Caenorhabditis elegans: one gene and its partners. The protein of the gene in region 1 binds, or shares a complex with, the protein of each later gene. Each region holds a gene or a part of one and is shown on either strand. Other genes may lie near its edges. The genes, in order: dpy-28, mix-1, dpy-27 and smc-4.

What was found.
Region 2: dpy-28 (region 1) and mix-1 share a complex: the UniProt entries of both Caenorhabditis elegans proteins name them as parts of the condensin I complex.
Region 3: dpy-28 (region 1) and dpy-27 share a complex: the UniProt entries of both Caenorhabditis elegans proteins name them as parts of the dosage compensation complex.
Region 4: dpy-28 (region 1) and smc-4 share a complex: the UniProt entries of both Caenorhabditis elegans proteins name them as parts of the condensin I complex.

Annotation. Positions count from the first base shown.
Region 1 is NC_003281.10:10,761,554-10,766,146, forward strand, and holds the start of dpy-28 (Condensin complex subunit 1), read left to right. Parts: upstream 1-1,577; 5' UTR 1,578-1,593; coding exon 1,594-1,721; intron 1,722-2,389; coding exon 2,390-2,607; intron 2,608-3,461; coding exon 3,462-3,736; intron 3,737-4,388; coding exon 4,389-4,593. Other genes in the region: tasp-1 (TASPase homolog), read left to right, coding at 1-133, 801-866, 1,049-1,253. UniProt on the Caenorhabditis elegans protein: Required for both chromosome condensation and segregation during mitosis and meiosis and X-chromosome dosage compensation depending on its binding partners.
Region 2 is NC_003280.10:10,822,299-10,827,265, forward strand, and holds the start of mix-1 (Mitotic chromosome and X-chromosome-associated protein mix-1), read left to right. Parts: upstream 1-1,947; 5' UTR 1,948-2,085; coding exon 2,086-2,179; intron 2,180-2,265; coding exon 2,266-2,349; intron 2,350-2,508; coding exon 2,509-3,440; intron 3,441-3,491; coding exon 3,492-3,643; intron 3,644-4,103; coding exon 4,104-4,209; intron 4,210-4,258; coding exon 4,259-4,398; intron 4,399-4,967. Other genes in the region: R06F6.12 (uncharacterized protein), read right to left, coding at 163-537, 711-817, 870-958, 1,004-1,446, 1,492-1,669, 1,720-1,781. UniProt on the Caenorhabditis elegans protein: Essential protein required for both chromosome condensation and segregation and X-chromosome dosage compensation depending on its binding partners.
Region 3 is NC_003281.10:3,813,665-3,821,519, reverse strand, and holds the start of dpy-27 (Chromosome condensation protein dpy-27), read left to right. Parts: upstream 1-1,840; 5' UTR 1,841-1,842; coding exon 1,843-2,268; intron 2,269-2,317; coding exon 2,318-2,419; intron 2,420-2,501; coding exon 2,502-2,860; intron 2,861-3,044; coding exon 3,045-3,800; intron 3,801-3,863; coding exon 3,864-4,101; intron 4,102-4,307; coding exon 4,308-4,516; intron 4,517-4,564; coding exon 4,565-5,015; intron 5,016-5,146; coding exon 5,147-5,584; intron 5,585-5,903; coding exon 5,904-6,181; intron 6,182-6,248; coding exon 6,249-6,597; intron 6,598-6,701; coding exon 6,702-7,242; intron 7,243-7,348; coding exon 7,349-7,611; 3' UTR 7,612-7,855. UniProt on the Caenorhabditis elegans protein: Central component of the condensin I-like dosage compensation complex that associates specifically with hermaphrodite X chromosomes to reduce their gene transcription throughout development.
Region 4 is NC_003281.10:4,585,674-4,593,500, forward strand, and holds smc-4 (Structural maintenance of chromosomes protein 4), read left to right. Parts: upstream 1-1,827; 5' UTR 1,828-1,832; coding exon 1,833-1,982; intron 1,983-2,035; coding exon 2,036-2,101; intron 2,102-2,145; coding exon 2,146-2,460; intron 2,461-2,508; coding exon 2,509-2,682; intron 2,683-2,723; coding exon 2,724-3,016; intron 3,017-3,062; coding exon 3,063-3,807; intron 3,808-3,855; coding exon 3,856-4,113; intron 4,114-4,158; coding exon 4,159-4,593; intron 4,594-4,642; coding exon 4,643-4,850; intron 4,851-4,899; coding exon 4,900-5,405; intron 5,406-5,453; coding exon 5,454-5,972; intron 5,973-6,025; coding exon 6,026-6,249; intron 6,250-6,293; coding exon 6,294-6,832; intron 6,833-6,881; coding exon 6,882-6,973; intron 6,974-7,021; coding exon 7,022-7,147; 3' UTR 7,148-7,451; downstream 7,452-7,827. Other genes in the region: F35G12.5 (SPK domain-containing protein), read left to right, coding at 6-141, 192-317, 368-490, 536-631, 679-801; F35G12.7 (Divalent-cation tolerance protein CutA), read right to left, coding at 1,079-1,201, 1,246-1,333, 1,382-1,441, 1,486-1,562; erh-2 (Enhancer of rudimentary homolog 2), read left to right, coding at 7,560-7,659, 7,704-7,827. UniProt on the Caenorhabditis elegans protein: Central component of the condensin I complex, a complex required for conversion of interphase chromatin into mitotic-like condense chromosomes. The condensin I complex introduces positive supercoils into relaxed DNA in the presence of type I topoisomerases.

The DNA of each region.
Region 1 (4,593 bases):
CATGGTCTGAACGAAGGCAATACGAAGAACCATTTGATCAAGTCAGTGAACGAACCATCTCGATTTGTTCGACAGGACACGGTGAATCACTTGTGAAAGCCGATTTCTGCAGGGGTATCGCCACGAGAGTGCTGTAAGTTTGGGAAATTATTGAAAATTTGGAGATTTTGCGCGCACTGGATCATTTTCCGTAGAAATAACTTAAAACTGAGCAGTTTTAGATGTAAATCAGCATGAAAATCCACAATTTTGATGATTTTTGAATCTTTTTTCGAACAATTAGCACAAAAATCTATAATTTTTGGAAATTCTGACCAGTTTTCTTTTTAAAAAAGTTGCTTAAAATTCGGGGATTTTGCGCGTTCAGGACCATTTTCTGTAGAAATTGCATAAATTGGGACGTTTTTAGCGATTACAATTTTACAAAGGCAATTTTCTCTCAAAATTAGCACAAAAATCCACAATTTCCTATCTATTTTCTGCAAAAAATAGCTCAAAATTCGAGATTTTCATATATTTGTGATCTGAAACAAACTGCAAATCCAAGTTTTTTACCGTTTTTCTTGAAAATGTAGCACAAAAATGTAATTTTTGACTGTTTCTAAACTTTTTTCTCTTAAAATCGGCAAACAATTGATAAATTAACAATTTTTAAATTATTTCCCTTACAAATAGCTTTAAAAATTGTAAAAAAAAGAAAATTTAATATTAAAAAAGATTTTACGACTAAAAAAAAAGAGATAAATCGCTGCGAGACCCTAGTTACCATAACAACAACGCATCAATTTTGTTTCTTTCAGAGACGACGAGGAGGGTATCATGTACAGTGAGATTATTCGAGAATTCATACACGAAAAAATGGAACAGTAAGTAGATTTATTATTCCATTCAGAGCAGCATATTTATATTTAAATAATTGAAAAATTGAACATCGAAAGTTCGAAAAAAATGAAATTTTTCATAAAATTTTGTATCTGTTGATGAAAAAACATAATAAAGCTTTATATATATATTTTTCGAAAAATCGAAAAATTGATTTTTTTTGCAGTGGATCCCGATACGGTGGCATCGCATTGATCGCCGACAAATTCAAAGATCGAATGTCGCTGGAATTTCTGATTTTCCATAATTGTCGATATCTTCCGGCTGCAGTTCGTTGTCGAGACAATCAGATTCGTGTTTTTGAATCACAATTCGATCCGGATCAATGTACTACTGATCCTAAATGTGTTATCGAGTCATTCATCATGTAATAATATGTATATGATATCAAGAATTCCGCGTTTAAAACTTAGAAAAATCTGGAAATTGTGTTTTTTTTTCGGAATTTTCCGGGGTTTGAATGCGGAAATATACAAAACAACTCCCCCACTCCATCCGATTTCTCTCTCAATCCTCCGCTGAAGAATATTTTATGATTTGAAATTAAAATGAAATGAAGAATTTTGTAAATATTTTAATTTTTAAACTTTTAATTGTTTTTTCTTTTATTGAATTTATTCTAGTGCTCACTTGCTCGCTTAGAAATATCACTGATTTGTTATTATTTTTTAAAAACTAATTTCCCCCTTCTACAGGCTTTTCCCCTAACAAATGCCGAGAAAACAACGCGTTGTCACTACACCGTCACCACCGACTTCAGATGAAGATGAGGATATGGATTTTGGCTCGACGAGCCAGCAACAGCAGCAGCAGCCGACACGGAATAATGATGGATTGAGGTTGAGAATTTCAGTTGGAAAATTATAGATTTTTCAGTTTTTTTTTTCGTGAGAAAAATCAGATTTCGTGCACAATTTTCACATAAAAAACTAAAAAAATCAGTTTAAAATTCGATAAAAAACTTAATTTTTTCCGATAATTTCAAAAAAAAAAATTTAATATCAAATTTCAAAAATTTCAATTAAACTCCAGATTTAGATATATTTTTCTCAATTTTTACTGAAATTTCTCTGCAAATTGCAATAATTTCGATGCTTTCTTCACTGAAAAACCCATAATTTTCATTTAATTTCATTTAAAACTAATATATAATTTTTTACAGAACCTTTTATGGAATTTTCTAGAAAAAAAAGTAAAATAAAGAATTTTTCCTGTGAAGTTTAATAAATATGCACCGTTTTCTAGAAAAAAAAGAAAAACCATGGATTTTTCCGTTTTTTTTTTTGAAATTCATTTCAAAAACCGAAAAATCAGTTTTTTTTCCATTTTTCCTCAATCAAAAATAATTTTTTTAAATTTCCACAGAAAATGCAGAAGTAAATCGGAATTTTTTAAAACAAAATATGAAAAAAAAATCACAAATTTCTTCAAATTTCTCCTGAAAAACCGAGAAAAAGGCTGTTTTTTTCCTGTCAAAAACTCTAAATTTTCAAATTTTTTTTTTCAGTGGCTTCAAAAGTATCACGGAAATCATCGCCGAAGCTGACAATAATATTCCATCCGAACAAATCGATAAGGATATCGACAGTTTCTCTTCATATTCGGATATTTCTGATTGGAGAGGAATTCCAAAGTTCTTTCCATCGTTGAGCTCACTTTCACGGCGAGCTTCTACTTATGAGAATTGGGAAAATCGATTCAAAGTCGTCGATTATCTCGTTTCTTGTGCGTTTTTTGGTGGAATTTTGGAAGTATAAAATATTGCTCTAAAACCCGATTTTGAAGAGAATTTTTTTTAATTTAAAAAACCACGAAAAAGTTCAAATTTGCTATATTTTAAGAGGAAAAAAGTGCCCAAAACTCATTGATAATTTCCTGAAAAAGCAGAAAAATCGACAGTTTTCTCAATTTTTCTCAGACCAAAAAATTGAAAAATTTTGATTAGAAAAAAAAGATTTTTCGGTTTTTTTTTGTTGGAAAAAATAAAAAATTTCAAAAAAAAAGTAAAATGTTTAAAAATTTCGAAAAAAAATTGAAAATTGAAAAACCTAGAAATTTGTACATGCATATTTAGTTGAAAAATACCTCAATTTTTAAAAAGCTTCTAGAAATTTTTTTAAAAAGTAAATTTCCTCCTGTTTTTCCTCCGATTTTCGAAAAATTCAAAAATTTTCGCTGAAAAATTGTTTTTTTTCGGAGAAAATCTTTGAAAAACTTTGATTTTTCATAGAAAACATTACTTTTATTGTTTTAGACAATTTTCTCAATTTTTCGACAGAAGAATTGAAAATTTTTGTTTCAAAAAACTATTTTTCGGTTTTTTTTGTTGGAAAAAATAATAAAAAAATCAGAAAATTCTCAAAAAATATAGGACCTTTAAAAGCGGCAATTGTCTAAAAATTTCAAAGATAAACAGTTGAAAACTGCCGGATTTGCCTGATTTTTTCCGGTCATTTTCAACTTTCAGACAATTTTTTTCGCTGTTTTTAGTTGTTCAAAGTCGAATTAAAAAAAAATAATAATTATTTTCAAATGCAGATAATATATTTTCCACTTCAAAACCCCGCAAAATTTTGCAGGTTCCGGAGCTCTAAAAGACTCTGTAAGCGACTACGTGGCCGATTATTTCGAAAAAAATGAATCTGGAGAAGATCATAGTGTCGATGTGGAATTGGTGCATGCAGTCAGTATGTTTGTAATTCTTACTCAACGATTGACTGTTCAACTTCAATTATACGTATCAAAATCGATAGCATCAGCCAATCAACAGGCGAAACGTGGTACTGGAAGAGGTGGTCGTCAAGTTGATTTAGATGATGATATTGTCAAGTGGAAGGATATTCAGAGACATCGGGTAATTATAGTTTTCCAGGAAAAATAAATTGTAAATTTATAGATTTTTTAGAAGAAAAAACATTAAAAAAAAACGCAAAAATTCATGTGTCTTCGAGAAATTTTAGGTTTTTCAGAGATAATAGAAAATCCAAAATCGAAAAAAAAAGTTTGTAAAATAAATAAAAAAATCAATTTTCTTCTTAAAAAAAAAAGAAAACTCAGATTTTTTTAACTCCCAAATTTTCGATTTTCCGATTTCATTTTGAAAAAAATCGAAAAAAAAAACAACTACTGTAATCCTTAAAGGCTCACGTCCTTTTACTATAAAATCGGTCGTGCCAAGACCCGTTTAGTGAAAATTTCGCAAAATATCGCATCTGGGAAATATAAATATATAAAATTTCGTGTTTTCTGGTCAAAGCCCCCCGAAATCTGTATAGAAAAGAGCTCTTCCATCTAAAAAATTGAGTTTTTGAAATTATTATTTAGTTTCTAGAAAAAAGCTCCAAACTCTGAATATTTCTATATTTAATGCCATAAATATTTAAAAAAAAATTTCATATAGTTTTTTCTGCTGAAAGGATTTTTTTTTGGATTTTAATATCAATATAATATAATCAGATTTGTTAATCCATTTTAAAAATATTATTTGCAAAATTTTCAAAATTCAGATGATCAACTGCCTGCTGGAATTACTTGAACTTCGTGTCGACACCGTTGCCGGAACCAAGAAAAAGGCGATTCAATACGTTTTTGCGCCGGATGTCATGGAAAAGGACTTTTTGCTTCGCTTCCTTGACACAGTTGTCCAATTGCTTGAAGATCCCGAGAATATGGCTCGTTCCAGTCAACAATGGATTTCTCATTATTTCAGAA
Region 2 (4,967 bases), on another chromosome or scaffold:
TAAGTTTTACCTTTTTTGTAGATTTTTTATGTATCTAAAAAGAATTATGTGTATTTGATTGAACATGTGCAAAAACAAAATTAAATGATTAATTTACAACAATAGAATTTTAGCAACATATAAATAAATGAATCCATAAATTTCGAGTAAAAATGAAGAATATCAACTGCTTTGCTCATCAAGAACTATAATCTTCTCACGAGTACATGAATCACAAGCTGGTAGCCGAATAACAATGTACGATGGCTCCTTCTGGTAGACCTTCTTATCACAAATCGGGCAACAAAAGTTCGGAGTATGTACTAGATGTGGTCCGTCGACGACAGGAGCCAACTGATACGACTTTTTCAGAACTGGAGGGCACAGATCATCGTTGGCTGATCGCTTTTGAGCAGCATTTCGAACTGAAGCCATATCCGTCCTCCGGAGCAAGACGGGCGGAGCAACTTGTTGATACTCGTGATCACTTCGGTCTCGCTGGGGTACGAGCATCTGGTCGATGGTGGCGTACGCGAATTCTCCATTCATTAATTGGATCTGAAATTTCAAAGCTTTAAAAAATATACTTTATAGAAGTTTTATGAGCATTTTTCTTCGTTTTTTCTAGAAAAGCTCTGTTTTGATCCAAAAGTTGAAAATAATTACATTTTATCGGATCAAAACAGAGCTTATCTTGCCTAATTAAACAGAAAAAGTAAAGAGTTTCTCACCTTGTACTCCGAATCGCCTCGAACATATTTGACAACCGCATCTTGAAGACGACCATCAGCTGTCCGAATTTGAACGGTTTCTCCAATTATTGGGCTTCTTGTAGATTCTAAAATAATTTGGATAATTAAAATTAGTTCAAATAAGCTTCTGAAACTCACTTCCAGCTTCCAACTGTTCATGATGATGATGGTGATAACTTGTTGATGGAGCCTGATCGTTGTATGCAGAATCTTGAGCTTTTTCTTTTCTAAAAATAATAAAAATATAGTTAAAATTCTACGTGTTGACCTACATGGGCGGTAGAGCAAGTTGCACAAGTTGATGGACATTTTCAGTGCTTAAATTGTTTAAATCAATGTTCAAATTGGCGATTTCGGAGGGGGAAACATAGAATTGCTTCTGTTTTGATGTAATATTGACTCCACCATCATTTGTCAGAATAATATGCATTGCATTATCGATTATCTGACCATTCCCATCATATTCTTCCTCCGGCCCATTTCCATCACCTTCAAATTGATTTTCAATCATTTCGTGATGAACCATGTGATGATGTGAACCATCTTCTATGACAACTTCTTCATTGTGCTCTTGCTCGTTTTGTTTCGCCTGTCGTTGTTGACTAATCGCCACCACAATGTTCAGCTGCTCTTCGGTGAGATGATTAAGCTCAAAGCCTGCTTCTACATCGAAACCCGCTTCGTACATGTCTTCCTGCGTGATTTGAACCATATTCTGAAATATAAATATTCTTTCAATTCATCGAAAAGCTTGAAATACCATAAACTGTTGATCACCATCCTCCACAATCATATCTCCTTGTTCAAGATCTTCCGGCTGCTGCTGCTGCTGCTCAACAATTTCTTCTTCATGCTTAGCACTTTCAACTCGAAGTGGGGCCTGATCCTCGTGGAAAATATGATCTTCATCGGCAGGATATACACCTTCTGGGGAGGATCTGGAAATTCCATTTATTAATTTGAAAGAAAATGTGATTTTTATTCTTACCCAGGAATTTCTTCTTCACGGCCTGTTGTTGGGCTAGCAGGATTTTCTTTTTCGGAATCCATATCTGCAACGATTTTCGTTGTTTAATAAAAATTAAAAAATAAAAATTAATAAATGACTCTAAATTATAGCGAAGGAGAAAAAACAAAGGAGAAAAAAATTACAAAAATCACAAGGCAACTTTTGCGCGTCAAATCTCATACATTCCAGTCCGCAAACACTCTCACGCCACTCTGCACACTTCTCAAAAGACGCGCCAAAAAACATTCAAAGCTCATTCGGCTTTCGAAATAAACATTTTCTCAAACTCGTTATCGACTTATAACTTATTTTTGTTCAAAATCAATTCGACAGGGTGCGCTCATAATGCACATTAAATCCATCCATCTGGATGGCTTTAAATCGTACCAAAAGCACACCGATATTCTCGATTTTTCGCCGACTTTCAACGCAATCACCGGTGAGTATAGTTTTGTGCTGAAAACTAATAGTTTGAAAAACTTTAATTTCAGCATAAAATATAGTATAATAATTGTTTTATTTCAGGATACAATGGTAGTGGAAAATCCAATATTCTCGATTCGATCTGCTTCATTATGGGAATCAATAAGCTCGATAATATCAGAGCAAGTATGTGGCTCTTTCTCATCACAAAATTATTTTGTTGTCATAGTGATACTTACGCGCTTTCGGACTGAAAAAGCACAAGATCAGAGTAGCATAATATTTCTAGCAAAGATTTTTTAAATTGAAATTTAGAAAAAAAAATTAAGTCAAATATCATTCCAGAATCAATGCACGAGCTGATTTCCCATGGTGGAACAAAAGCGATCGTCCAAGTTCGCTTCGACAACACTGATAAAAGATGCTCCCCGTTCGGAATGGAACATCTCGACGAGATCGTCGTTCAGAGAATCATCACAGCTCAAGCAACTGGAAAAGGATGTGCAACGAGTTACACACTGAATGGGCATGCGGCCACAAATGGAAAAATGCAAGATTTCTTCCGTGGCGTCGGTTTGAACGTGAATAATCCACATTTTCTCATCATGCAAGGTCGTATTACTACGGTGCTAAACATGAAGCCGGAGGAAATCCTCGGAATGGTTGAGGAAGCAGCTGGAACAAAGATGTATGATCAGAAGAAGAAAGACGCGGAGAAAACAATGTTTTTAAAAGATGCAAAACTCAAAGAAGTTGATAGAATCTTCCAATCAAGTATTGATCCGAGAATGGTAAAGTTCCGTGAAGACAGAAAGAATATGGTGGAAGTGACTCGTCTCAAGAAACTCAAAGAGAACTTTTCCCGAAAATACGAGGCGTTTCAATACTTTCAAACATGTGAAGCGGTGAAAAAAAGTGCAAAAGAGATTGAAGATGCCAAAAAGGGAATTGAAGATCTCGGTGAAAAGTTTAATCAGCTTGATCTTGACTTGAAGAATAAGGAAGATGAGAAGAAAAAGATGGAAGAATCTCGAGATGATCAACATGAAGAGGCTGCACTTTCAGCGGCTCATCTTTCGAAACAATCTATAATGCTTCAGAAGGAGACTGTCAAAAATCAATTGGTTGAAACAATCAATAAACTCAAAAAGGAAGGTGAACAAATCAACAAAAGCTTGTCAAAAGATCGTGAAGTTCTCGACGCAAAACGAAAAGAACACGAAGATTCAAAGGCGGCTAACTCGAAAGATATTCAAAGTCAATCTGATGATGAAGCTGTAAGTTCGAGAAATTATTCTAAAAATAAAGTTAAAAAAAAACAATTTCAGCTCGTCACAAAATACCGTAATGACCTCGAATCCCTAACGAGAGGAACAATTGCTAATGACAAAGGAGAACATGTGTCGATTGAGAGTGAAATACAGTCTTGCAAGTCGACTGCGTCTCAAATGTCATCTGGGATTACTGCTGCGAAGAAACGGTAACTTTCCTGAGAATTGGAACAAAAAATCTAATTTTGTTTATGTCGATAAGAATAATGACAAAAATTTTGAGATATTTTAAGAAAAATCGAAAAACAAAAAGTTTCGTTTTTTCGCTTTTTGAAAACGTCAATGATAGTTTTTTTGCGGATACTTTCAATGAAATTATTCTGTCGTTTTCTCTTCAGTTTTCTGTTTAAAAAATTTTAAACCAGTTTTATACTATTTTTACATTGAAAACTGGTTTTAAACAATTTTTAAACAGAAAAATTAACATAAAACGATAAAAAATTGACTACAAACGATGTAATTTCATTGAAAAATTGCAAAAATTGAAAGAAAACACAACATCGAAAAAATAATGCATTAATTTGGAAATTCAGTAAATTTAATGGGACAAAAGAAGAAATGTACTTTTTTAAATAGGAATATCATTGAAAAATTGGCAATTTATTTCAGCGGTGAACGTCTACACAACCAAATTAAACATTTGGAAGGCGAAAAAGCTACTCTCTCAGCCAGAAGTAAATCTGACATTGGAAGTGCCGATAATTATCAAAAAGAGGTATCAGATATTTCAATTTTTTTTTCTCCGAAAACTTAAAAATATTCAGGTCGATGAGATCAATAAGCAACTTCAATTATTGGGTTTCAATATAGATGCTGATACGGAGAAACGAGAACACGCTGCAAAATTGCATGAGAGCATCACTAAGCTCAAGGATATGGATACGAGACTTCTGAATTCATACAAGTAAGGTTTTGTGTGAAAATTCATTTTAAAAGAGTTATACCGTTTCAAAATTTAAAAAAAAAAACCTATTTTCATAATAAAACCCGAATTTTGTCAATTTTTCAGTATCGCAGCGAGCGGAACTTGGTTTTTATTCAATTATCGCCTTTTTATTGCATATTTAAATATGAAAAAAAAAAAACATATATTTTTGTAGTATATTATGCGTTTTTTTTTCGTGAATTCAGGTGCATTTTCTGCACATTTTTGGTGAAATCGACCGAAAAGCCATCAACATTAACGAAAAAACGTGCAATAAAGAGTGATAATTTACTACGAACCAAGTTCCGGCCGTTATGACACTGAAAAGTTGGTAAAATTCGAGATATTAGCTTTAAAAAATAGTTTTCTTTCGGAATTTTGAGAAAACTTTTTTTAATTTTAAAACAGTTGTTTTTCAAAAATTAATGCTTTTTTTCAGCTAAAATTTCAAATTTCGCGAATTTTTTTTCGAGAGTTTCGGCATAATCAACTGAAAAAGCACCAAAATTTAGGAAAATTGCGTGATAAACTATCACAATATGCAATAA
Region 3 (7,855 bases), 6.9 Mb from region 1:
GAAAATGAAAATATCCGGAAAATCGGAAAACCGCCATTTTGTCGGAATTGAAAATTTCGTTTTACATCCAAATCCGTTTTACATCAAATTATACCCCTGTTTCTTCTTCTACAGTTCCCCTCCATTTTTTCGATTGCAGACTTTCTAGAAGTTTACATGGTTTGTGACTCTGTAATATGCTCATCTGAACCGTATGTTGGCAGATGTTCTTGCTCACAAGACCATCCGTTGTTTGATCTCTCATTTCCCACCATTAGAAGACCCGTTGTTGGCTGCAACATCAAAAACGAAATCCTCAATTACACGCAACTAACTGCTCAAATTATAAGCTTATCTATCATCTCAACAGAGGAGATCAGCTCATATTCTTCTCTCACACACCTCTTCTACCCATCACAAGATGGAGTCGTGCCAGCCCGTACCAGTGTGCTTGTTACCTAGGCGACCTGAGAAGTACAAAATAATCATCCGTCTCTTGTTTCTCACACCTTGTTAAAACTAGTCAGTTTTATACTTTTGTCTTCTGACTTCAATTCTCTTCTATTCTCTTCTTCATTAAGGATGCCCGGATCAACTGGTGCAATGGATTTGACGGAGCAAGACACGGGTAATCGCAGACAGTAATGCCTATCAGGACTTTAACTACTTGTTCTATTATAGACGAAGTTCAATAGAGATCGTACAGACACATAAATTGACAAAATTTTTGGCTCATTTCCTTCATGCTTCCATCTGGATTCACATACATATCTAATATAAAATTTCAAGTTTCACTCATCGTGTTAAACTACTTCTTATCAATAAAATCTAGTGATTTTTTTTCAATATTATACATATAAAAACCTCTCGGTTTTTTGGGGACCTCTTCAGCTGAAAACTCGTATACTTTTCCCAAAGCGTGATCGTTGATCGACTATCTGTAGCATATCGATTTGTACATCTAGTAATGGGAAACGTTTGCCAAATTTTCAAATAATTAGAATCTTTATCTCTCCAGCTCCTTAGTCTGGTACACCCAACCTTCTTCGCAACAATATTCCGCTCATCACCCACCCACCCATTGCTATGGATTCTCTCCGTCTCTTATTCCACTATTCTTTCTCTCACCCGAATCGTCTTGACCGCAGTCGGAGTCTGTCATTTCTCTCAGTCTCCACGTTCTCCATGCTCTTTTCCACTTTCACCTTCGTTCTCTTTCGTCGTCTGCCTCTAACCCCACACTCGGTCAGCAGTAGTAACAGCTCGCACACACAGACACAGACATACGCTTGCGCGCGCGCAATGAAATGGGTGTGTGCTCGTGTGTGACCGTTTCTTAACTTTTTTTTTGAATTTGACAAATAAATTAATTAGCGCAGCTTTCATAATCTTAAATCTTAAAAAAATTAACAAACTTATATATAGTTTCCAATGTTATCTGTGCCCTGATTTTCCTAAAGTCCGGAAAAAAAATTCGTTTGAATTATCGATTTGAATTTTTCCCCAACATTAAAAATTTAGTTTTCAATATTTGAGGTGAAATCATACTGATAACTATATAATATACTATAACATTAATAAATTTCTAGATGACTTTTTTCAATGTTATCAATTTGTAAACTGTGTGATTCAATTTTAAATATGAAATATATATTTCAAAATTTTTTGATTAGGTAATGTTGGCAATTGGCATTCAAAGAAATTTTGTCAGTTGATAATTACCAAAAAAATTTGATTGGAAGGGGTCGAAAGTTTGCCAGTTGTCAAAACATTTCCAAAGCTTTGCCTTTTTGGCAAAATTATGCACCTCTTACTCTCCCTCTCCCTTTTAATATTTATCAAAATTAATTCCTTTTTTCAGGTATGCAGCCGTTTAAAAGACGGGCGCTAACCTCGGACGATGATAGACCATATGCTGACACCGACTCGATGCCTGAAGTCGATCTCGACGTGGATCGCCGACGACAGTACATGGAACAGCTCAACATATTCGATGATGTTAGTTCAGGCGCGTATATGTTGGAACTTGAAGCGGCTGAAAACGGTGTGAAATATGATGAAAAAGAGGATCTTTTGAATGTTCAAATTCCCCCAAAATATGAAGATCAGATCTCGGATCCGGATGGAAATCGAATGATAATTCTGAATATCTACGTTGAGAACTTTAAAAGTTATGCTGGAAAACATATTCTCGGACCGTTTCACAAGAACTTGACAATGATCCTGGGACCAAATGGAAGTGGAAAGTCAAACGTTATTGATGCATTGCTATTCGTGTTTGGATTTAAAGTGAGTTTTTTAAATTGAAATTTTTATTCCACAATATACATTGTTTCAGGCTGGAAAAATTCGTACCAAGAAGCTATCAGCATTGATCAATTCAGGAGGGAACTACGAATCATGTTCAGTAACAATTATGTTCCAGATGGTGAAGGATATGGTAAGTAGGTTATTAAAGCGGGCCTGAGATCCACACGATTGAAAACAAACTAATAACTATCAATATCAAAATTAATTTTCAGCCTGTCGAAAATTACGATAAATATGAAGTGTTAACAGATAATTGCGTCTGCATCACCCGCACAATAAATCGTGAAAACAATTCAAAATATCGTATTGATGACAAAGATGCATCGCAAAAAGACGTCCAGGAGCTTCTCCTACGTGCTGGAATTGATATGACCCATAATCGATTCCTGATTCTGCAAGGAGAAGTTGAAGCGATTGCACTAATGAAGCCAACATCCAAAAATCCGAATGAAGAAGGAATGCTTGAATATATTGAGGATATTGTTGGAACCAATCGTTTTGTCGCACCAATTTCCAAACTAATGCATCGGGTTTCTCTATTGGAGCACAAAAGTTCACAATATGGAGCCTCGTAAGTTCATTTTAATATTATTAAATACCACAAATTTTGGCACGGATGTACCACATAAAAATATAAAGCATGGAAATTCAAATTGAACTAGGAAAAAACAAAAAAACTTTGCGGTTTCAACTTGAAATATATTAATTTTCTGAAACTTAAAAAAATTTCAAATTAAAATTCTTTCCATTTCCAGTGTTCGCCGCCACGAGGGACACCTAAAAGTCTTTGAAAAGGCAATGGTTATCGGGATGGCCTACCTGAATACCTTCAATAATCTCAACTACCTTCGTGGAATCCGTGTCAAGCACAATTTGTGCCGTTATGCTGAAACAATGAGGGACGCCAAAATGAGTCTTGTCACTCGAACAGGAGAACTCGAAGAGAACAAGGATATCATGCTTGAGGCAAAGGATGAAGTTCGGAAGAAGGAGACTCACGAGAGAAGCCTTAATAGTATTGTCACTGAGCTGGAGAATAAAAGAATCGATTGGCAATCGAAGAAGAATGACTGGCATGCACGTGATGCTAAGAGAAAGCAGGGGCTCAAGTCGTGTACTCAGGACCTTGGGAAGCTCATGAAGGAGCGGGATGAAGCTCGTCGGGAGAAGTTTGAAATTGAGACGGCTCCAGAGAATGCGAGAATCTCTAAGCAAAACATGCAACTCGAATGGGATCAGCTCAAGGAGCAGGAGAATGTGTGTCAGCGGACAGCTACAGAGAATCTCATCAAGTATGATCAGAAGTCTAGTGCCGACAGAGCGAAGCATGATGATCTGGAGAAAAAACTCTCAGATGAGCTTCTGCAATCGATGCGAGCAAAAGCAGAATTGGACGTTTCTGAATCAGAACTTAAGGATATGACGATAATGATGGAGCAGGGACAGAAGAGAGTTGATGAGCTTAAAGGGACATTGCAAACAATGATGGCTGAGAACATTAGAGATAATACGTAAGTTTTATTTTATTTTATTTTATTTTAACCAGCTTTTAAAAATTCCCCATATCCTTCCAGTGAGCTAAACGCCGTCACAACTGAGCTGCAAGATAGAAAGCTGAAGTTTGACAAAGCTGTCGAGAAGCTTCCGCATTTGAAGTCTACCGAACAACTTTTGAGAAGCAAGAAGTATGAGCTGGATCAAGAAGTGATTGAAGCATCGAACACCCAGGAAGTTACGTACCGTCATCAGGCAACCGCAAAGCTTCATGAACTGAAAGAGGCTGGATTATTTCCGGGCTTCAAAGGTCGCTTGGTAAGTTATTCGATTGGGAGTGAGTACCTGCTTTGAAATTTGATTAGCTGTGAGCATCCTGGGGTAATCTGATGTTCCATGTAAGTATGATTTTTCTGGGAGAAATACATTTTAAATAGGATCTTTCAAATTCAGAAGCCACACGTTTAGTCTGATTTCGAATTGATTTTTTTTCGAGGACCAATTTAAAATTAATTGTCTTACAGGGAGATTTGGCAAGTATCCCAATCAAGTTCGACACCGCAATTTCAACAGTGTTCTTTGCACAATTGGATTACCACGTTGTGCAAACTAGCGATGAATGTAGAATCGGAATTGGCTTCTGCCACGAGTACAAACTTCCTCGTACGACGTTTGTCTTCTTGGATCACTTGAAAGATACTGATACTAGCGGAATGGATTCTACAATGAAATTGTTGGTAGTTGCCTTTAGTTGCCAAATCTAATTAATTCTTATTTTCAGCCCAGCCGAACGACTTTTCGATAAGATTCACTGTGTAAACCCTGAGATTCGCCGCGAATTCTATTTCTTGATCCATGACATTCTGGTTGTTGACAGTCTTGAAGAAGCAACTCGAATTGATAAGAAGTATCCTGGAAGGCATCGTTATTGCACACTGAATGGCTCAATTTTGAACCGAAGTGGAGCATTGACTGGTGGTGGAAAACCGACGACTGGTCGTATTCGAAATGATAATAATCCAAACATGAGTGGAGTCAAAAAAGTTGATTTGAGCAAGCTAAGAGCCGCACAGGAGAAGCACAATCACGCACTGGAAGCTCATTTGAAGTTGCAGTTAAAGCAAGAAGAGATCCGAGCCGACAATGGTCCGATTATCAAACAGCTCGAGATTCGTAAGCGTGAATTGATTATGTCCACCAAGGAGCAGAAAACACGGATTGCCGAGTTAAAGGTGATTTATTTTTGCGTCTCTTACTGAAACACAGAAATTTTCGCTGTTCCGATTTTCTTGAAAATGGATATATCGAAAAAAAAACTAGATTTTATTCAAAATTTCCATTCTAATTTTTTAATTATTTCCAGAGCTCAATCGCAGCACATGAGCGCCGTATGGTTAACTATAGAGAAGTGACCGTTGAGGATTTGGACGAGAAGAGAGCTCAAATTGCAGATCTGAAACGTCAAGTGGAGGAGAGCCAAAAGTCTTCAGCAAAAATCAAGCAGCAAATTGAGCAATACAAACGGAAAATGGACCGAATGTTTATGGAGTTGGTCCAAAAAAATAAGGACTCAATTGAGCAGGCGAAGGATCGAATGGGACAGCTGGAGCAGGACATTGCACGACAAACTGCAATTATTGAGAACAATCCATCACATTTGGAGCAGGCCGAGAAGAAGCTTAGTGAGCTGGAGCATATGTGTCTGGAGAAACGTAGCGAGGCAGATGCATTGGCTCAATTGGAAGTTGGAGAGGATGTAAAGGGAATTGATATTATCAATGCGCAATTGCAAACTTCAACGGTATGTTTAATTTCTATAGGACTAGGATTCTGGTTAGGCTTATGTTTAGGCTTCGACTTCAGTTCAAGCTTAGGTCCAGGCTTAGGTTCTGGCTTGAGCTCCAACTTAGGCTTTTTTTAGGCTTAGGCTTTAGCTTGGTGTTTCCAACCTTGCTCCCTTAGTTCTAGTAAACATTTTCGATTTTTTTTCAAAATTTTAAACCACTATTCAAACAATTTTTGCGCTTTTTTAAGCAGTCTCCTTATGAAGTTCGCCATTTTCGAGCTATTCAGAATTTACCAATTCAAGCTTTACTATTTTCTAATTTTTAATCTTCCAGGCCAGCATTGATGCACAAAGAGCCAGGTACACTGAAGCGGTTGCGGCACGCCGAGAAGCAGATGCAGCCTATCAAACCACAGTTGACAACTACAACATGGTCAAACAGACTTATGATGAACTGATGAGAATCATTGATGACTTGGAAAACAAGACAATGGCGGATAATGCAGAACTTGATATTATTGAATCTGCATGGATGCAACCGGAAAAGCTCTATCCACCTGGCAAATTTGTCAGATATAATGATCCAGATATTGCGGCCAAAATGACTGATGGGTACGTTTCAGAAGCTTTGGGAGATTTTCCATGTGCAAATTCAAATTTATAATCACTGAGTTTTTAGGCACGTTGTACTCCCATATGAATGCATCAGTATGATCGAACCTCACCGTGAAGCTTACGAAGAGCACGAAGCGAGAATGCTTGAGGACGATGTTTTCGAGGACACTGCTAACAAGATTTGCAAGCTGGAAAAAGATGTTGACAAGTTCCGGCGGGAATTTGATAATAAAGGTGTTCGGGATTATGCGATGATTGTGTCGCTTCTCATGAACGAGGTGACGTCAGCGAAGAAGTTTAGCGATAAGCTGAAGGCTCATCGTGAGAAGCTCAACGAGTTGAGAATGGCGAGATTCAACGAGTTCAGCGAGGCGCTCGCATTCTTGGGTACTACTACCCAAATGCTTTACCAGGTGAGTAAGGGGTACTTGCCTGCTACCAGGCTGACAGGAAGCATTTTTTCTGTCAGACCCATTGCTTTAAATGAGATTAAAAGAAACAAGTTATTTGCTTACAGCTTATCACCAATGGCGGAGATGCTAGTTTGAAGTTTGTGGAAGAAGGAAAATCTACCGATCCCTTCGATGGTGGAATAAAGTTCAGTGTACGTCCCGCCAAGAAATCCTGGAAGCTCATCGAGAATCTATCTGGCGGAGAGAAGACTCTGGCCTCTTTATGCTTTGTCTTTGCAATGCACCACTACCGTCCAACACCCCTCTACGTGATGGATGAAATCGATGCGGCACTGGACTTGAACAATGTCAGCCTGATTGCAAACTATATCAAGCATTCCGAGCGAACACGGAACGCTCAATTTATCATAATTTCGCTTCGAAATCAAATGTTCGAGGTCGGAAATCGCTTGCTTGGTATCTATAAAATCGATGGAAAAACTTATAACATTATGGTGGATCCGATCGCGGTGGAGATCAAGAATCGTCCGATTTTGAAGATTTTCGAGGAGGAGATCAAACGGCGCGAGAAGCTACGACGTGCCGAGATTGAACCGGAAATTGATTTGAGTAATGGGCTCAGCAATGTCGTTATTGCACCAAAACGTAAGTAATAATTAGTGACATATCAACTGCACTTTAATTGTAAAATACCAAATCAAAGTAGCAACCAGTCCAACTTAAACCCATCTCAACAAATACCAATTTTCAGGTAAACAACGCCGGCTGGAAATGCTGAAACTCTCGGACTTTGGTCTCGATGATGACAGTGATCTTCCTGAATTTAATAGATTCCCACCCGCAACTCGTCGTGAATTAAGTGTTGAGGATTCAGATGAAGACGATGAGCCAGTAAGAAGACGTCCGCGTCGTCAAGTTGAAGAGGAAGATGAAGAGGATGAATTGATCGAAGAAGCAACTCCATCTCCACCACCAATTGTCGTTCAACGCCGTGTGCGAAGAAGCAGACATTAAATTGAAGTAATATATTTTAAACTAAATTTTGAAAAAAAAAAGAAAACTTTGTGAAAAATCCAAAAAATGAGACCAACTTTCTTTCAAGCTTGTATTTTTTAATATTCGTCTAGCTTAATTTTTCCTTGTGATTTTAATTATTTCCCTTTTTAATATATTTCCATTTTGTTGTATATTTTGTGAAACCCCTATATCTTTGCATCACGTACTGTCCAATCTATCTCATTTTCTTAATTCGCTGACA
Region 4 (7,827 bases), 6.2 Mb from region 1:
TGTAGGGAAGCAAGACGACTCGCTGAAATTTGGTGGGCAAAAAATTTGAGATTTTTTCCGCAAACCATGTACGTGCTGCAGAAACTTGATCAGAAAAATCCAGATGGGTTTAATTACACTGATTTTGAGGAAGAGGTTCAGGTAATAATTTAATCTTATTGTTAAACAAGGGAGAAATTTAGTACGTTTAGAAAGTGATCCCAAGGTCCTGGATACAGAACCATCATTCATTTACACTCTTGTCGCTGTTGAATGAAGAGAGCCTTTACGTGAAGTTCAACTTGATAATGCCCTCGGATTCTGAGAATATGAACAGAGTAAGCTATTATATTTTGATTGGTCAAGAAAGTAAATCAATATTTTTAAGGTGAAGGTCAACCAAGTAATTAAATTTCTCGGTTTCCATGAAATTGGAGACTGTGAGTTTTCTATGATCTATCAATATGTTAGTTCAAAGTCCGCTTCAGAATCTACATACAGCATCCACAAAGTGAGAGTTTTTTTAGTGGATTTCTTTTCAACTTCGAATTTTCAGTTCATGTGTGAAGACTTTCCGGGATGGGAGACACAATACAATAACGAAAAGAAAAGCATGGATAGGATCTTTGAGATAATTATTCAGGAGCAAAAAGTAAGAATGATTGAACATATATGAGAAAACATTTCAATGTTTTTCAGTTATTTTGGACGGAATATGATTATCATACATACAAACGCCATGCATACAAGATTGCTGTCCCGATGGTCTTCTCGCTTAACATTGTAGACAAAGCTGTTGGAGTTCGAAGTGATGCTCGCTAGCTAGTTAATGATAGCCCTGTCTTTCCCGTTCAACTCGATCTCTTTGAAAAAAATTCATTAAATCACATCAGAATCGCTCGAAAAAAAAATTTGAAGCTTTCAAGACAATCCCCAAAAAAGCATGCTCAAATCGTTATTTTGGAATCTTCAAATTTTCGGAGCATTTTTTCTTATTACGATGTTTTTTTCCTTAGCCAAATCTGTTTGTATGTATTTATCAGTTCCCGTTGATTTAATGTTTAGTTGGTAGAAATAAATATGAATAAAGTTTTAAGTTTCAATGTTTCGCAGTTGAAGAATTCGTAGAATCCACAATCCATCCTCCAAAATCGGGAGTTATTTTGTCAATGGCCAGTGTGAAGAAGCACGGAGTTTCAGCCGGATGAAGAGATCGAACACGCTGAAATTGAATGAAAATCTTAGTGATCCGAAATAAAAACATACAGCTGATAGCTCTTCGACTTTGCTTTCTACAGTTTTCAAGATCACGACATGCTCTTGATCTTCTTCAATTTTTCCTTGCCATTTGTATCTGAATATCTGGATTCTCGCACAGATTTAAAAAAGATAAAATACTTACACAGATGTGACTTCCGGAATAACATTGGCGCAAGCGGCTAATGCTTCAGTGACAGTTGTTCTGAAATGAAATTATGTTTTGGTAGACAGAAAACAAAAAAATACCTTGCCACAGTCATTGCAACTTCCTTACTCGGAGCTGTCACATACGCGACAACCATTTTTACAGCGGGTGTTGTCATTTTTATTTGAAAACTTATTTTATGTTGAAGCAATTCAGAAATGTTTAATTAATTACCGTACTTCATTCTAGCTCTCGTCGTATAATTAAATGTATGGGTCGCACTTGCGCGTCACGGTGTTTGCACACACTTGTATGCGCGCCAAAATTTTGTTCGAATTTCACCGCCAATAATTGTTTAGCCGCTGCTGTCCCACTTTTTGTTTTTGTTGGGAAATGTCTTTTTCATATTAAGCACTCAAATCCTAAAAATCAACGTATTTTAGGGTTGATGCCTCCGAAGACTTCGGCGGCGCCGCCACAATCAGACGAATCTGATTCTGATTTTGATGACGCTCCTGTTAAAAAGCCGCAGAAAAAGACAACGAAGCCTGTGAACCGACACAAGGAAGGATCAAAGGACCCGGAAGAAGAACTACAGGTATCCCTCTCAGAATATTTAAAAGCAGCAATAAAACTGAAATTTTTATTCAGAGAGCGGTAAATGAAAAATTTGATGGAAGCGACGGAGAGGACGACGACAGTGATCTTTTCTCATTGGTATGTTACTCTGTTTTTAATATTAAAGTCATTACATTTTACAGCAACTGCCATCGCGACCCGATTTCCTTACAAAACCGAATCGGGCGGATCGTTTGATGATTCGCAATGTTGAAGTGGACAATTTCAAGAGTTACTTCGGCAAGGCTTCCATTGGACCATTTCACAAAAGTTTCACATCAATTATCGGTCCAAATGGATCTGGAAAGTCTAATTTAATCGATTCGCTCTTATTCGTTTTCGGTTTCCGTGCTTCCAAAATTCGTTCTGCAAAAGTGTCAAATTTGATTCACAAAAGTGCTGGAAGAAATCCAGACAAATGCACAGTCACTATTCATTTTCAGCGGATCGTCGATATTGTAAGTGAATCAGAGAATCTAATAAAATATAAATTTGCTTTTTTTCAGCCTGGGCATTACGAAGTCGTCAAGGATTCTGAGTTCACAATCTCTAGAACTGCTTTTCAAAATAACTCAAGCTCATATGCTATCGATGGTCGACCGGCAACGAAGAATGAAGTTGAAGCACGCCTACGACGCGTTGACATTGATATTGAGCATAATCGTTTTCTAATTCTTCAGGTAAAAGTGACAATAAAACCGGTAATAAACATTTTTTTCAGGGAGAAGTCGAACAAATTGCAATGATGAAACCAGTGAAAACCACCAAAAGTGAAACTGGAATGGTTGAATATTTGGAGGATATTATCGGAACAAACCGACTCGAGCCCTTTGTTAAATTATTCCAGCGACGCGTCAATCGTCTTACTTGTGATCTTTCTCAACAAAGAATCGCTCGTGATCACGCCAGAAACAGCAAAGTAGCTATGGAGAATCCAGTTAGAGCTGCAATTGAGTTTCTGATGAAAGAAAACGAGGCTACAACGATTCATATGAAATTGGAGCAAAGAAGACGGTAGTTCTGAAATATTCCAGGTTAAAATAACATTTAACGTTTTAAGGCAACGATACCTAGATAAAATTGCTCCAAAACAAGCCGAACTTGACAAGATGAAAGAAGAAATGAAATCGATTGCTGAAACGCTGGATACCAACAAAAACGAATACAAACAATCTGAGGAAGCTCAGAAAGTTATGATTGAAGAGCGTTCGAAACTCGACAAAAACTTTGATAGTCTATCTAAGGAATTGAGCGACTTGGGCACTGAAGAGACTCGCAGGAAGGAGGCTTTGAAAAGGCATCAAGCTAATATTTCAAAGGCGGAAGCTGAGAAGGAAAAAGAGGTTAAAAAGCGATCAAATCTGGAAGCAGCACCCGAAAAGGCGGAGAGAAAAATCGCAAAATGTCAGGAAGAAGTGGAACAGTTGCTTGAAATAGAGAAAACAGCTAACGAGGAAGCCGACAAGAATCTTGATGAATTTGAAAAACGCTCTGAAGCGCCAAAAGAAGAACAAAAGAAGATTCAAGAGACTTGGGCGCAGAAGAGCAACGAATTTAACAAAGTTCGAGGTGAAGCAAGGATTGCACGGGAAGATTTCGAGGATTTAAAGAAGCTCGCGAATTCTGGAACGGATAAGCTTATCGAACTGAAGAAACGATTAGAATCTTCAGAAGAAAGTTATGCGAAAGAGAAGGATGAGTTAGATAAGCTGAAGCCGGAATTTGATTCTTGGAATGATAAGTTAAAACAACTGAGTACAGAATTGCCAACTCTTCGAAATACGGCAAGACAGAAGAATCAAGATGTAGGTTTTCAAAAAGCCTGATAAATTTAAATAAATCCTATTTTACAGTTGGCAAAAACGCGTGATCGTCTCGAAACTCTTCGCCAGCAAAACTCGTCTTGCTCAAGTTCGAATAAAGTTATTCAAGCCTTAATGAAGGAAAAAGAAGCTGGAAGAATTAAAAGTTTTCACGGTCGTCTTGGTGATCTCGGTGTCATTGATCCGAAATATGAGGGAGCGATTTGCACAAATTTCGGGGCCCGTCTCAACTATCTTATTGTAGGGAAAGAAGAAGATGCAAAAAATGTCATCAATTTTTTAGTTGCTGTAAGTTTTATAACCCTCATTTTCTAGGAATACATTGGTTTTCAGAATAAATTACCTCGACAAACTGTTCAGCCATTGGACAAAATTAAGTGTGATAAGAGAGATTTAGCTCCCAATCCGACGAACCCATTACCTGCTCCTCGTCTTATTGATCTGATTGATTGTGATCCTGTTCTTAAACCAGCATTCTATGATATGGTGCGTAGTGCAATTGTGGGCGATTCTACCCAGGAAGCTCAGCGAATGCATAGAATGCCCGCTTGTCGTGGTGTTACCGTGTGCACACTAGAAGGTTCTATGATTCACCCATCTGGATCATTCACAGGAGGTGGAAAAACAGTGAAAGGTCTCATTCTCACGGATAAAAATAAGATGGCTAAACAAGTGACACCTGAAGATAAAGCCGCTGAACGAGATTTAGCTGAAAAACTTGGAAAATTGAGAGATGAAGCTGATGAACTTAAAGGACAAGAGCATGAAGTAAGATATTAAAGGATAAAAATATAAAATATAACAAACCGATTTTTAGATGGACGGACAGCTAATCGAAGCACGTCGCAAAGTCGCTGAAATGAGTAATCGTTTGTCTATTGTGACTTCTTCAGTTCAATCTGCAGCTCCAGCAATTGAAACCCTCAAGAAAACGATCGCAAATCAAGAAAAAGAAGCAGCGAAAGTTAAGGTGGATGCGAAGACATTAGAAGATAAACAGAAGATTGTTGAGGAGCTCGAAAAAAGTAATTTTCCGTCATATCATCATGATTTGGGTAATATATTTCATTTCAGAACGAGATGAGTTGGGCGAAGAAGCTGCGAAAGTAAAAGCTCGTCAAGCTGAAATTCAGAGTAAGCTTGACGGAATCTTCAAGGAACTTGTACAATGTCATCGAGACGAAGCCAAAGAGTCTCTTCAGAAACGTCAAAAACTTGAGAAGGATATCGCCAAAGAAACTGCAAATATTTCCAATTCGGGCAGAAACATTGCAAAGTGCGATGAGAACATTTCCAGACACGATAAAGACATTGAGAAGATGAAGAAAAAGTGCGAAGAATTGATGGAGAAAGCAATCGATGATGAGGAAGTGAAATCGAAGAAAGAAACGGTTGAGCGCTTTGAAAAGCAAATCAAGAAGTTACAGACAAAAGGAGAGGAAATGACGAAGAAACAATCGGAATTGTCAGCTGCAGAGACGAAATTGGAGGGAGAATTGAAAAAGTGCAGTGAGGGAATAAAGGAGTTGAAGGAAAGTATGTTGGCAGATCGATTAAAGGTTGAGGATATTGAAAAGAAGGTTTGTTATTAATAAAAATCTATTAAATTAAATGTTCTTTTTTTACAGCTCGCTGCTTTGAAAGTTAATCGAATCCCACGATTCCAATTTCTCATCGAATCAAGTCGGCCAGAAGATCTCGAAATGCAAATCGATGATAAAATGCCGGTGGTTGATGAAAATCAGAGTCCAGAAGAAGTTGAACGACAAAAGAAGCATATGGCCTGCGTGATGAGTGACGCCGCGTACGCTCTCGAGTTCGAAATGCGACAGAAAGTGTTGGAAAACACTGAATCGTATGAGAATGTCGACGGAGAGGACCGGGTACCGGTCGAGCTTCTGTCCGACGAGAAAATCAACGAGATTTCGAGCCGAGACGCTGAAGAAATGCAAATGAAGCTGAAAGTGTGTGAACAACAAGTGGAAGCATTGAAAGCTAAAGTTGATATCTCATCGATTAAAGCTTATGTTGATAAGGTCAAGCAATACAATGAACAAGTGATCAAGTTGACAATAGCCACAGAAGTACATCGAAAACATAATCAAGAACTTCAACGAATCAAGCAGATGCGACTTGAAGAATTCCATGTAAGAAATCAGACGTTGATAGGTTTCTGATTAATTTTTAAAAAATATTTCAGTCTGCATTCGAATTCATTGGAAAACATTTGGTTGCCGTTTTCAAAATGCTAACTGACGGAGGAGATGCCAAATTGGAATACATTGATAAAGACGATCCATTCCGACAAGGAATCAGTTTTATGGTTCGCCCAGCGAAGAAAGCTTGGAAGCAAATTCAATTCCTTTCGGGTGGAGAGAAGACATTGTCCTCATTGGCTCTCATTTTTGCGCTCCACATGTTCAGGTACTAAATACTTTCTTTAATAATTATTATAATCCCTCGTTTAGACCTACTCCATTCTACGTTATGGACGAAATCGATGCTGCTCTCGACTATCGTAACGTTTCGATTATTGCCCAATACGTCCGACAAAAGACTGAAAACGCGCAGTTTATTATTATTTCTTTGAGAAATAATATGTTTGAACTCGCCAATCGTCTCGTTGGTATCTATAAAGTTGATGGGTGTACTCGTAATGTAGCCATTGATCCATTGAGAGTTTGTGAGATGGCGAAGCAAATTACGGACAGTTTGGGGCAGGCCACGTGTACTCTTCCTGATGAAGTAACTCAACGATTCAATGAGACAATGAGTCGGCAGAATAAGGAAATGATTGCACAAGAAAAACAATATCCGAACTTCCCATCATCAAATGAGATTTCAAAGGCCGAAAAGATTGTTAACGTTGAAGGACGTGTCAGGAAAGAATTGATTCAAACTACCCGAGATGTCACTTCAAGACCACAATCCAAAGCAACGACAAGTGGCGATGGAACTGAAAGACCGGCTAGTCGGTCAGCAAGTCGACCCGAATCTCGTATAAATCGTAAGACCAATGGCGTATTTATTATGAAAATGAAACAACTTATTTTTAGAAATGAAATATCCTGCTCCACGCCTTGTCGAAAGATCGTCGTCACAGAATGTTCGTAGCCCGAGAAAGGCACGAAACATAGAGGCCGATGAGGTTAGTTTCATTAAAAAATTTGAGACTCATTTTATTTCCCATTTTCAGACTACTCCACCTTCAAAGCGTTCAAATTCCGCAAGTACACCAAAACGATCTCCAATGAAACCGTTGACACCGTCGAGTAAAAAGAAGGAGAAGGCAATCGTTGATGACGATGATGATATGGAATAATTCATTCAAAAAAGTTCTATCCTCTTTTGTTTTGACGGGTATTAGTTCTCTGATCCCTCGACTCTTCCGTTTATTATTATTTTAAACTCGCGCAAATGATACTCATGTGCAATTCTTTAACCTCTCCCTGTTCAAGAAATCTCTCCCTTTTCCTTTTTATTTATTCTTATTCTCAATTATATTTAATTTGAGGGCCAAAGTTTGAGCCATTTTGCGTTGTATTTTTTTTTCGGCTCCAAACTGTAATTTAATGATATAATTGAGCTATGTGTCTTTTCGTTTGAAATAAGAACGTTTATCGGTGAAGCGTTGACTAGTATATCCCTCATGGTTAATCTGATTCAGATTTCCATTTTCACTATTTATTTTGTGGATTTTCACTGTAACTCGTGTTATGCATGTAATTTCAGATATGTCTACTTCTTCACATACCGTACTTCTGATTCAAACATCACCACGTCTTGATTCACGGACTTGGGGAGATTATGAGAGTGTAACTGACGCTCTTGATGGTAACCATTCCGTGAGAATTATTATGTTTAATGGAATTTTTCAGCTCTTTGCAAGATGTTTGAAGATTTCCTTTCCAAGAAATCAGCTGCTCCAGTCACATACGACGTGTCGCAAGTCTACGAGTTTCTCGATAAGCTCTCCGATGTTTCTATGATGATCTTCAATCG